2 linked regions of the Styela clava genome follow. The protein of the gene in region 2 interacts with the protein of the main gene of each other region in a pairwise test. Links are inferred from orthologs where the notes say so. Each region holds a gene or a part of one and is shown on either strand. Other genes may lie near its edges.

Region 1 (6,153 bases), on a different chromosome or scaffold from region 2:
AAGGCATAACGCGTCATTTACTAACCTATTATCAACTTATCTAGGATGGCCAATGTACATATTAACCGTAGATAAGGAATAGAATTAATTGTGTTGAGACCGATGGACGTCAACACACCTGGTTTCAACTTCTTCGGGTGAAATGACTAAAGAATGTAAGAGATCAACTTGTAAAACATGGTCTATTTGTGAATGCCGTGATAATTAATGTCGCGCTTATCAAACAGCAATATAAAGACGGAAGAGAAATTGCGTAATGAACCAACGCAACTTAGTCTTTTCGGCATCGGTAAAGCGATTGAGACGGCAGAGAAACAACAATACGACGGGATTTCCCGTGTTTATTCTCCGCGAGATCCATTTTCTATTACAAAATCTTGATGTTATGTTACCGATTTTATCGTTATATATCTGTCCGGACTTGGCATTGCTCAATATGTTTTTCATAATGTCTCGCAATATGTCGGCCAAATATGATTACCTGTCTTTACCAAATGCGGCAACTTATTTTGATTTATCGTCAACTCGAATACCACCGGCACTCGACCAAACTTGTGTCAATCTTGGCAAATAGGATTGTCGACTTGAGTTAGAAAAATAAATTAATATTTTCATGAGTGCAAAATAAATGTCACAAAATGCATTGTTTTGCGATATAATTTTGTATTTTCGGAGAAGGCATGTCATATAAGTACGTTATTTTAAATAATGCGCAAATAATTAGTATTTGATCTAAATTTATCGCAAATAATGTTATGGGCCGCGAAATGATTTAATGTAAAATGAAGCATGGAATTCGGAATATCGTCAATAAGTCGGCATCAATAATTATTATAAAATGCTAACTAAGTAGTAAAGTCGGATATTGTAAAAAACGGTGAAATAACAAGTCTTCGTCGCGAGGCAAGCTAAAGTATAATCAAACGAGAGAATACGCTTGTAGTTGATTTAATAAATTAGCAACCCGGAATTTTTATTTAATACGAAAGCCGTATTAATACGTTAATACGATTTTGAAAAAGTGAACTATCGGTTCTTAAATATATTACCAGAGTTGGTAATGATAAAATTGATCGCATAAAATTTGGTGATAGAGTGGATAACAGAATCAAAGCTAATACAAAAGATAAAAATCAGAATAAAATTGTTTTGAATTCACTCCTTGATATTTGTCTTTAACATCTGTCGCCGGCGTGTAGTACTGCCGGGAATATGAAAACCAAACTTCGATGTCCCATTCGGAATAGAAGTGGATTAAATTGGTTGTTAGGATAGGTTTAAATGTGTGAAAAAATATCGCAATTACGGGGTCATTACGTAATCGATTTGGCCGTAATTACGGAATTGATTTTTGTCAATTACGTGCAAGCCTACATAGTACCTTCTTGTTATTAACGATAAGGATTTCAGCAGTGATATTCTGCATATATTTCTCAAAGTACAAGGCAAAAACAAACAAATATACGGAAAAGTGGGCGAAAAAAGATTTAAGACGTTCTCATGCACTTGCCCACTTACCCCAAATAGCGAACAATACATTGAAGTAAATTTTAAAAAGACATGATAACTCCATATACAACGGACAAAATTCTTTCTAAACTGCATAGTAGATGTATGAGTAACTCCTTATTCAACGCCTTGTTTAAAGGGGTGTGTGAAGTACCCCATAATATAAGTGGGGATGCTATCACCAAATCTTTATCGAATGATCTTGGCAAAAAGAAAATCTTAAACTACAGTGGCACATCACCAGTCAGAGTCCCAGCAAATTTGTGTACCAGGTGAAGTCAAATCACACTGCTTCCATTTACAAGACGAGTCCCAGTCATTATAGATGGGCGCGTTTTTACGGCGGGAAAATGGTTCATTCTGACAAAGGAATGAATCTTTATATAGGCTAGGATTTACATATTATCTCGGGGAATAGGAAAGCCGATGAGACGACTTAACCATATGGCGAACCACGACCTCTCGTCCGGTTACCATTCCATGTCGGGTATGACTAGGGTTACCATATTTTTGTGACTTTACATTTTCCGATTTTACTACATAGGCCTCCATTCAAAGACATCCCGTCTGTCTTCATTGACATATTGCTATCGAGAGTTCATGCGCATATTCTCTGTCCAAATATCGGGTTCAGTTCGAAAAATAGAAAGGAATTGACGTTTACTAATACAAATAATTCGAATTTAGATTCTTTATGTACAGCAAAAGGAAGAAAGATAGCCTGCCGTTTTCAAGCATTGAGAATTTACTTATTCGCCTAAGCATGCTTTTCTGTAGATAACGCCTTCGTCAAAAAGACGTTGTTCAATGTTACATTCACGTGAACGTCAGAACAGGACCAATTACTATTGATTTAACATGTTATACGTTACGGAAACAACGAAACAAACAAAATAACGGATTTACCTCCAGCAAATGGGCTAGCGCTGGGCTGCACAGCAACAACAGTAACGAAAACATGTTATTTTGTATAGTGTTCGTGTATTATAATAGATGGTGGAACGCCAACGCGGGACTTTTGGCTGACTTGTCAGGACGGCGGGACAACACGCGATAAAGCGGGACTGTCCCACCCAGTATGTTCCCCAGCTTTTCTCTTTAGGGGGGGGGGGGGGGGGGTCCAAAATTTAGGGGGTGGTAAATAATTTGCTATTAGAGATAAAACTAGGCTATGGTATGTATTTAAGAAACGATGTACATGGGGGCCCCCAAGTTGATTGACGGCGAGCCAAAATCCAGAGCAGAATGAAATTGTAGGGCCAGAAAAGGGGAGCGAGGAAAAGTGCGGGACGACACGGCTGGGGTTCAGGGCGTGCTTAAGCGCCCTGAGAAAATTTTGAGAAATAGGCACCAAAATAGGCTCTAAGCTTGATTTTAGATACACCTAGCATCGCAGTTTGTTATGTAATAAAATCAACAATTATAATATTTAGCTGATAGAATTCTCGGGGAATAGATAACAAGCACGGCTTTCAACCGCAAATATATACTACTACGTTTCAACAAGTAATTTGCAACTGATAGTGACTAATGAAGTTACTTGCTCATCTGACATTGTATGAATGGCTACTTATGGCTTGTTTTGTTACACATTTCTAATTTTTTTGAACATGTTTGTTTGACTTTTGTATGAATTAAATTTTGAAATACGCTCGTCAACTGATCATAATGTTGTATTCCTTCAGAACTGAAATATTTTGTAAGGAGACAAATCGCTGAAGTTTGATTCTTTTCAATAAAGAAATAAAAACGCTGTCATTCATCTAAAAAACGTCTGTTTTCAGTTCCTAGTTTTCGTTTTGTGACATCTTTAAGCCTTCTTAATATATGGCTGATATCTAAAATACTGCAGTGTGTAATCATAATACCCATACCTATACATAAGATACCGGAATAATTCAATTGTTACGAAATAAACGTGCTTAAACTGTGATAATGATGTAACAATAGACGGTATCTAAAACTCAAAAGGTACCACATGAAGGGTTAAACTATTTCACTCAAGTTCGGCGGGCCATTTCAAATCGTCACGCGGGCCGTAATTGGCCCGCAGACTGCGGTTTAGAACCCTTCAGTGTGGAATCGCACCCCAAAATTAGGGGGGTGTTCACCCCCTATAGGGGGGGGGGGGGGTGTAGGGAAATCACTGGTTCCACCTAAAGCGGGACGTATGGTAAGCCTAGGTATGGCATTAGTTAGTTATTTGTTGTTCGGAAGCATAGACTTAGTGGCAGAGGAGGCCGTAACCGACCAGCGGTCACGTGGACCACCCTACGGCGGCGAGTAGTCCAGCAATCCTCACGCACATAACCATCCCCGCATGGGATTCGATCCTGCGAACCCACGCAGAGTAATCAGATGTGCGGTGGCAAGCGTTTTTCTAAACTTAAAGCACAATGAGTCCATGATAGTAATACCGCCGCGTATTTGTTTTAAAAGGGTAGATCCACGCTGGGCACATTGTAAAAATGCGATTAACCAGCAAACTGTGGAGACTTTGCACAACATTTAAAGTGACGTCACTGTGATAACTCACCCATGACAAAATGTGAAATCACACGCACGTTGGCGTTCTCGCGTCTCTTTCTGTTCATCAGTCCTACAGTGTGGATCTGATTATTTCTGGCTCACCGCTGTTCTCGTATTTTATCGTATTTCGAGATTACGTCGGCCGGTAGACACTAAAAAACATCATGAGTGCGTACAAGGAGACTGGCAAAGCACCCCCAGGTTTGTGAATTCAACTAGCTTATGTTTTATGTTACTGCGTTTCGGCCGTTGCGTACGGTGCTCGTTAATGCATCCTGCTGTACCGGTACTGGTGAAACTCATTGGCACAGTACGGTACCGGTATGCTGGTAGCTTAATTCAGTATAGAGTTGGTATATGCATACCGGTAGTCTATCAGAGAATTCAATTCAATAAGTGACTTGAACATTGAATAAATAGTGCATCAACCAGTAATAAAATTTATGCTTTGTGTATATATCTAAAAATAGTCAATACTCAAGCCTTGTACATACAGTAATCTGATAATCGTACATCCTATGCATATCCGTTAGCTGTCCATATAGTTGTATCATTACCTCAAGTCAATACCAAAATTATTGTTGTTCATTTTATCATTATATTTATTCTTTTGTTTACGATTGTGTTTGGTTGACGAATCAAAAAATCTGATTGCCTGACGTATCAAAAAATCTGTTTGCCTATGGAGAACTGCACTGAAAAATAGAGCTTGCAAAAAAGTCAAAATTGATTGCTTTGGATAGTTCGACATGAAGCCTCATTTTTCGAGTTTAATGTTCATAGAAACTTCAGATTTATAAAAAAGCTTCAACTGTCAGACTGTTGAATAAAATGTTTTTTTTCTTCACTTGATTAATCTGTTTCATTTTGACATCTGCATAATCTACTTTTTCCCCTAATTTCTTATTAACTGATCGTCTGCTTATTTTTGATACGCAATGTTGTAAATAGAATAGCTAACATAAAAGTTCAGTATTTCGGAATTCTATTTCTGATTTCACAGCCGAATATTCACAAACTACATTACACTAATATTTGTCATTAATCGGGATTTTGAAATTATACAAAAATAATTAATAATCTGTTTTCTTGTATATTTTTTATCAGCAATAATTTCAAACTCTGGAAGACCTAAATTGACAAATAAAATTTTATTGATCGAGAGGATTTTGATCAGTTGGGTACTTTTGGCATCATTCATTTGTTTAATATTTCATTCTTACACATTCTAGGGGAAGAACCTCCAATTCATAAGATTCGAATTACATTAACATCGAAGAATGTTCCCAGCCTGGAAAAGGTCTGTGCTGATCTGATCAAAGGTGCAAAAGAGAAGCAGCTTCGTGTAAAAGGACCTGTAAGAATGCCAACCAAGGTCCTTCGTATCACCTGTCGTAAAACACCTTGCGGAGAAGGTTCGAAGACATGGGATCATTACCAAATGAGAATCCACAAGAGGTTGATTGATCTTCACAGTCCATCTGAGATTGTAAAGCAAATCACCTCCATCAGCATTGAACCTGGTGTTGAAGTGGAAGTTACAATTGCTGACGGTGCCTAATTGTCTCCATTTCATGCGTTTGTTTGAATAAATGCATACACATAATTTTCTAACATTTGTAAGCTGGGCTGGTCAAGTAGGAGAGAAAGTGTGGGAGTTACTATGTAGTTTGCTAACCTTAAAATTGAAACTTGAAATCTTGTCCAATATTGGTGACAAATTACTTTTTGCATTCATGTGTGTAAATTTTGTAATGTCCTAACCCAGAGCTTCCCAAACTTTTGAGCTCGCGGCCCCTTTTGATATATTAAAATTTTTCGCAGCCTTTGTTCACGCTAATAATGCTAAACAGTTTAAAATATGCATTTTTGATATTTTATTGAAACAGCTAATTCTAAACTTTGAATAGGGCTACTCAATAACAAAAACATCGTTACTCAGATTATTCAATGTAATGGGTGCGAATGCTTCTTGCTACATAGCAAGTTCAGCCGTGGCGCAATGTTTGTTTATGCAGGCCTAATGATGAATTACGATGTCTGCCCACCGACGATCTGGTTCTAGTACGAAATTGTTCACTCTTATTGATCAAACTCAACATAAAGCAGTGGTTT
Region 2 (7,662 bases):
TGAATATCTGAATACGGTGGTTTTCCTTCCGCAATTTCAATAGCTGTGATTCCCAATGACCAGACATCTGCTACGCAGTCATAACTAAACAAAATATGTACAGCATTTAGTATATAAAGTATTTGTTCACTTATTTTAATAATGATCAATAAGATACCGAAACAATTATTTAAAATTTCTTTGATTAATCAAAAGCCGTGTTGTAGAAAATGCAGCAGAATTTAGGACAAGAAAAATAGACACTAATTCAATAATCTACTGTTCAGCTTCTACCAAGAAGTTAATATCTAGTTGAATGACAAGACTGTGCAATAAAGAATACTCACAACTAAAGCATTCATATTTAGTATTAGTTTCATACATGATGGGCCGAGATATTTAGCTCAAATTAATAAGGCGGGTACTATTGTAATATTATGTATTGAATTACAATTCCTTTCTCCTGTCTATTTCCTACTTCATATCCGTATGTTGCGGTTGCCACAAGAATGCTTGAACAAGATAGCTTCCAAATGATGAATGATATTAACTGCCTTAAGAATAATATATAATTCCCCAAAATAGTATTCAGTGTGTTTGATTGAGTTATATCTTGTTTTGTATGAAGAAATAAGACTACGATACAACAAAAGTTCACAAATATATTCACAATTAATTTATTTTTATTTATAATGGAATGACAATAATGTCATGCAATGCAAATAAACCATATATAGCATCACAAAGCAATGCAAGTATTGAACAGCTATGATTCACCATTTCAACAAAATGATCCGTTATTATCAACTTACCCTATTTCTTGAATAACCTCTGGTGCCATCCAGAATGGTGTTCCGATCACTGTGTTACGTTTTGCCATGGTATCAGTCAACTGACCTGCAACTCCAAAATCTGCGAGTTTGCTGTTTCCATCAGTGTTCAGTAATATGTTGCCTGCTTTGATATCTCTGAAATTATAGTGATATTTAAAATAAAAAAAATTTGAGGTTTGAAACTGTTCGAAAATATCTCCATTTGAAGACTATGAATTAAGAATAGGAAAGTTGCTATGGGACGGTCTGAAAAAAACATGGTCGTCAACGTTTTAGAGGTTATATAATTATAAGAATCATTAAAACAAGATTCTGTCACATTCCCAACATTTGATATTTGTGCAAAAATACATCCATGAATTGAGCCATTCGCCTAATAGCCTAATCTGATGCTGGACATAGTCTATATCTGAGATGGAAAAAATATTATCTCATTAAAAATGTCCTTATTAGTATTAGTACCATATCCCAGCATTTCAATACATAGCATACTTGAGTTTCTGACTTTCTAATTTGAGAATGACAATTTGTCCTATTGTAACGAAACAAAAAAATTTTCCACTATTATTTGTTAATAGTAGAACTAACAGATTTTATCTGAAGAACAAATTCTAACTAAATCCTAATTTTCCAAATTTTATTTTCATTTTGAAGATTAGATTATCAATAAATCACGTACATTCATGGCTTCGAAACCAAACGAGCTTGTTGAGTAGTAAATCAACCAGTACTGGCAGTTAAAGTTGGAGTGAGTCTATTAATTTGAAAGTTTCAATTTGTAAAAGTTTGAAGCTATGGTTTTGTAGTACCAGTAACCCAGGAGCAGTCGAACTAAGAAAAAGCTGGAGCCAAAGCCATTGTGATTTCAAACAAGTAAATAACGCAAATTTTTTTCAACTTACCTATGAATCTTTCTCATGAAGTGCAAATATTCAAGTCCTTTCAAAGTATCTCGCAATATAGTCCCTATTTGTTCTTCAATCAAAGTTTTGCGTCGGAGTCTGATGATGTCCGATACAGATCTAATGGAAGGAAGAATGCTACAGTCACACACTCGGAACTCGTAAGTAAAGAAAACTGAGATCTGAGCAAGGCTACAGGCAACCACAGAGGTACAAAAGGGCTGCTGAGAAGAAGACTGAGCTCCGAGTAAAGCTACTGGCCACCACTGAGGTACCAAGAGATTATGAGGAGGAGAATGAGTTCTGAGCAAAGTTACGGGCAAGCACTGGAGTGCCAAGAGCTGATGAGACTACAAAGAACTATAGTGGTAAATACCTTATGAGTACTTGAATAATTATATCAGGCCAATACAATGATAAGCTATCAAACAGTGAATACCACGTAACTGAAGCCTGAGCTGATACAAAAATATAATTAATCAACAAATTAAACTGAAATAAAATATTTGCATAACTTAAAATCATATTACATACCCAGCACCACAATATTCCATGACAATCCATAGATCTGTATTCTTGAAATAACTTCCAAAATATTTCACAACATAAGGAGAATCGCATTGTTGCATTATTGCTATTTCTTTTATAATTTCTTGAAGATCTGATTCAACAGGAACTTGCTTGATTGCAACAACCTGATTAAATAATAGATGAAAGAGTCAGATATACAAAGATTCTGTTTCACGACTGTTTTCATTTTTAAGTTGGGAGTTTTATTTAAAACTCTGTGTCCTACAGAATAAAAATCATATTTCTCAATTTGCTACCTTGGAGACCTGATTCGAAATTTTGAACAAATAGCATCAAAGATCGAATTTTTTTTACAACTTGTGATAGAGGAAGAAAATATGAAAATAACTTGCCCTAGGTATAACAGCATAACAAGTTAACAACATACAGATAATACATTATATGACATCCGAACTATAAATTGTGCAAATATATATGTATATATCAATGAAGCTTGAGTTTAAGACAATCTTTAAAGATCTAACCATTACATGGATTATTAACAAATATTTTAATTTTGATTGAATATTGAATCAAACATTGAGTTTTGGAATCAAATCATCTTACCTGTCCAGCTTCTTTATAAATAGCTTTAAAAACACATCCATACGATCCCTCTCCCAACTTTTCAAGAAGATCAAATACTTCATCTGGTTGTTTTGTCAAGCTTTCTTCACTCAATTTTTTCAGTGGTTTTTTATTATCCATTTTTTTATTTTTTTTATTAAAATTTCACGAAACTGAATTGAATAAAAACAATTCTGATTAACTCTGGTCCAATTCCAGAATTTACATTTTTTACAGTTAATTGTATAAAAGTCACATCTTTACATAGCTTTGTTTACAAGTTGTTTCTACTATCAAGCTACAACAAGGTGAATACAGAAGTACGATTGATCAGTAGAACACAGTTCTCCGATTCCAAGATGTCTTGACGTTTGGTTATAATATGAAACAATCACTCTATTTGTCACTGAAACGAGGGCGTCTGGAACAATGTCAGTCGTCACAGTAAAATTTTTTTCCATCTGTCAATCGGACCATTTTCTACCGAGAAATTCTATGGTAGCGTTTTTAGATTGCACTTATTTATAGTTTATTGCGCAGTGCTGGCTTGCCAATTTGGCGAATTTCAAGTTTTTAAAGTAAAATTGAACAATATATGATGGATACAGTACAGACAACAAGATGGCAAAAGGAGGTTTGAATTATAACTTTGATTTCCAGGTGCCCTAGGAGTTGTTTAAAAATAATAATATACAAATAGTTGAGGATTTATAAAATAATGGGCATATTTATCACAAAAGCAACCTATACCCAACCTGTACCAGTATACATATACAAATTGTGTCATTGAATACAAGTGGATTATGAAGTATTGCAATATTAATCTGTTAGTTCCATCTAAACATTATAATAATAAGCGGAATATTTTTTAACACATTTATAACTAGGTTTTCGCAATGCTACAAAATACAGAAATAATGGCCTCAGTAGCTTGTTTTAAAATGGAATGTACGAACAGCGAACAGCCTGAAAGCAGACAAAGACAAAAAATTGGTTGTTTAATTTTAAATCATGAAATTTTCAGCCAGAAAAAGCGACATATTTTTGAAGGGCTTTATCGGGCATCCTCCAGTCCTCATACAATTTTGATTAGCCTACTAGGGCAGTAGTTCTGTAGGTGGCATATAACGGTCAGACGGTAACAATTTAAGTTATGACTTTCAGTCGCCTGGGTGATTGTTTAAAAATAATAATCTGTAAACACTATAATATTTAGACTATATATTCATTTAGGAATATTTTTTCAATCAATTCAGCAATTTTATTTTGGTCGCTCTGGTATAAAACGAGACAAAAAAAACGGACAAACAAAATGCAGACGACCTGGAAGGCGGTATTATTTGTGCAGCGAAGCGGATGTGAAACAAAATCATAACTCTAACAGTCTTTGGTTATTTGGGTGGCATGTTTTAAACCGCTGATGGAGTTTCTGCAACTTTTCTGAGATTTCCGAATTTTTTTTATTATGTGTTAAAACAAGGAAACAATATTCATCACATTACATTAAATTTCACCATCCAATATAATTCCCATCATCATTCTGTCATTGTATATTCCATTAATTCAGCATCAGTATAATCCAATCCATTCAAATAATGTCGGCCTTCCACATAACTTACAAGGTATGGTACCGGTAACGGTACCGGTACTCATTGTCAATTCCATCAACCTATCCACATTCGATAGATGGCGTAAGTAAAGGAATAGGTGGAGAGAGAACTGGTCTCGAGATGTCGTAAAAGATACGAGTAAACCAGAAAATTGGATTCAACCTAAATATTGGATTTCATGCCAGCAACAATCTCGAAGACGCAGAATAGACGTTCGGTTCAGCATTCAGTTCACGCTACTTTCAGAGTATGGCAATACTGGACATTCGACAATATTTTGGCGAGCCTCCCTCGTTGTTTTGAGCACTATTAACCCCGATCGGAAAACTATTCTGTAAATTATCTTATCTCCATAGACATTGCTATCTCTTCAAATGTTGTTACTGTTGGTGCTGGTGAACTTCACTTCTTTGCCACGAGAGAACAATGCAAAATTACATTTGTCGAAATAATCTAGATATATCTAAATGAATGCTAAAATAATCTAGAAAATAATCTAACATCTAATTGGGCATTTATTACATCTAGATTATACGAAAATAATCTAAATCTAGTTTGAAATAATCTAAGTTGGCAACGCTGCAAAGAGCACCGATTTTCTTGTTTATTTCCGTACAATGACTATATAGCAAAATGTCAACGGTGACGTAACAATTGTAATTATTGCATCCCTGAGACACTTTGTTCTTTCATACACATATTCAAGTATGGTTGTACACATTGCCCTGCGGTTTTGCGTGTTATTTGTCAGTTGTTAGTTGTGTTTTCAAAAATTAGTTGAGAATGAAGTATTTTAGTTGTCGTTATGTGTTCTGATGAGCATTAGTTTAGTTGCCGTAATCAAGAATTAGTTCCAAAGAATGCGATAGCCTAGGCTAAAATGAGCTATTAGGCTATCGCATGTAAGCGGCAGGTGATTGTGCCGTGAAATTTTGATATAAACACTACGACTTCAAATGTGTTTCAAATGAAAGATATCGCTATAAGCTTTGCAAGGCAAGTTCAACGAAATTTTATAGTTTAGTTGATTTGTTTATTACATTTTGATGATTTTCAGAGCACAGCAGCATGGTCAAGCCAGGAATTTGAATATTTATTTCGAAAGAAAATTTTATAAGATTTTTAGAGGAAATTGATTGAATTTTTACACAAAATTATAATTTAATCAAGTTACTATTTTAATTTTGGCCTTTGGAATGATGGCATTGGACGCGGCGCATATATTTATATATAAATATATGTAGCGGTTTTCAAAGAGCGGTAAATTGTCGGCAGTTAGCGGGCGAGGATCGGGAGATTTACTATTTTAATAGAAAGAATTAATATGAAGTTTTCAATGTATGTACAGTGGATTCTATCAGATTTATTAATCTACGCTTAATGCTGATGTTCGTAAAATTATGAAAATTGCTGTAGGCCTATTCTCTTTTTCTTGCTTCACACAGTCAAAGTTGAAAAAAATCTTCGACAGTATTCTAGGATTTTATTTGCATTGCAAATCAAAAACCTTTATACTTTAATACTATAATAAAACCTGACGGAAACTTATAAAAAAAAAGCGTCTAATCAGTTTTCCCAGCCTTACCATAATTAACGGCAGCTCATAATTTCAAATTAGAAGAAACCATGGGAATATCGCTTACCGGTACAGACAGGTTGCCCTCGTCCAGCACTTTCGGTACCGATACCATTACTTATCCTACCTATGGTCGCCTTCGTTAGCTCAAATTCAATTACGCCTATCAGTTGAATGAGGTACCCTAACTGTCGCATCGCACCGTATCTTTTCAGTCTATCTTGTCTCACTGTGAACGCGATTCAAAGTGGTTGTCTACTTGCCTACAACCACTGATAGTCACAACGAGCTAAAGTGAACCCATTAGTGAGTACTGGTGCACTGCACGTCTAGTTGCATAGAGTCATATTGCGGATCTGCCTTGTTCGATTAGATTTCAAAGAAGAATGAACCCTGATCTAAACTAGAGCTTCGAACATACAATTTATTATTTCCACTTGGTAAGTTTTCATTCTTAGATTGTGCTATATACACTCAGTTTACAGGCATACATTTGCCAGCCAGTTTTTTTTTACAGCAGTCTCCTCAAGCCCATTCCTCGCTTGTTTTCGTGAAGCCGTCACTTTGCTTTTCAGCCCGTGTGCTGCCTGAATTTCTTAATTGATTGCTTGGTAACTGTAATGACAGTCACTATTAATGCTCTATGTTTCTCGGTATTTATTTTTTAATTGTGCTTGTGGTATTCAGATGTAATAAGGTTTTATAATTGGTTATTGGGATGCCCTTCAGCTGGGCAGAAGTCTTATTCACTAATAATTTTTCTCAGTATTGGATTTAATACCAAATTGCCGCGGATTCAATAATGGAAGAAGGAACAGGAAATCTCGTTGAGTGATTTATTGTTTTAAATCCGTCACGTTACATCAAACTGAAAAGATGGCATTTCCATTCAAACAGCAATAGTGACGCCGCACAAATGATCACAGCAAAGTGAATGTCTCATAATTAAACACATTACACAGATAATAAACATACAAATTTAGCATTGGGCTCTAAAGAATGTGGCTACCAGAAAGAATCTTGTATATTTGTAGTTTTGGTCAGATAACGTTTTGCATGTCGGGTAGCATGGCAAAGGTCAGTTGGTGTATATATATTTCCTAACTTTCGATAATACAGGTATAGGCAAAACTTTGTTTTAAATACGAGAGAAATTGATATTTATACCTAGCTAGAGTTATGAGAGTCTACCAGTAAGATATTTATCAGTTCATTCATGGCTTGAGAATAACTAGCCGGGTGATCGCTTCACGTGAGTGAACGTAAGGAAGACCATATGAACCGCCTAGATATTTGGATTTTCTGCCCAGCAAAACAGCTTAATCACACCGGCACAGGGTTGTCCATAACAAATCGAATATTCCAATATCAAAGTATTCGAATACTTTTTCAGCTAATTTAAAAATAATTCCGAATAGCAGCCAATTTTCCCCGTGAGCGATGTTTTTCGAAGGAGATCTTTGTTGCGACACCTTTGCAGGGTTCGTGGTGGGCATTGCTGCAATTCCTTGTCAAGGCTCTTTATTTACGCATTCATTCCTATTACGTCGAAAAATTGTAAATTAGGTAAATCCGTAATTGATAATCAAGCACACTCGAATTCAGCCGCCCGCAAAACGTTTTCT

What was found.
Region 1: the proteins of serine/threonine-protein kinase 4-like (region 2) and small ribosomal subunit protein uS10-like interact in a two-hybrid assay, tested with the Drosophila melanogaster proteins (2 studies listed by BioGRID). The link is inferred for Styela clava from reciprocal best matches to the Drosophila melanogaster genes hpo and RpS20.

The regions. Positions count from the first base shown.
Region 1 is NC_135257.1:17,376,159-17,382,311, forward strand, and holds small ribosomal subunit protein uS10-like, read left to right. Parts: upstream 1-4,077; 5' UTR 4,078-4,202; coding exon 4,203-4,239; intron 4,240-5,270; coding exon 5,271-5,599; 3' UTR 5,600-5,644; downstream 5,645-6,153.
Region 2 is NC_135254.1:9,064,748-9,072,409, reverse strand, and holds the start of serine/threonine-protein kinase 4-like, read right to left. Parts: upstream 3,025-7,662; 5' UTR 2,993-3,024; coding exon 2,852-2,992; intron 2,410-2,851; coding exon 2,249-2,409; intron 1,835-2,248; coding exon 1,715-1,834; intron 948-1,714; coding exon 792-947; intron 85-791; coding exon 1-84. UniProt on the Drosophila melanogaster protein: Plays a key role in the Hippo/SWH (Sav/Wts/Hpo) signaling pathway, a signaling pathway that plays a pivotal role in organ size control and tumor suppression by restricting proliferation and promoting apoptosis.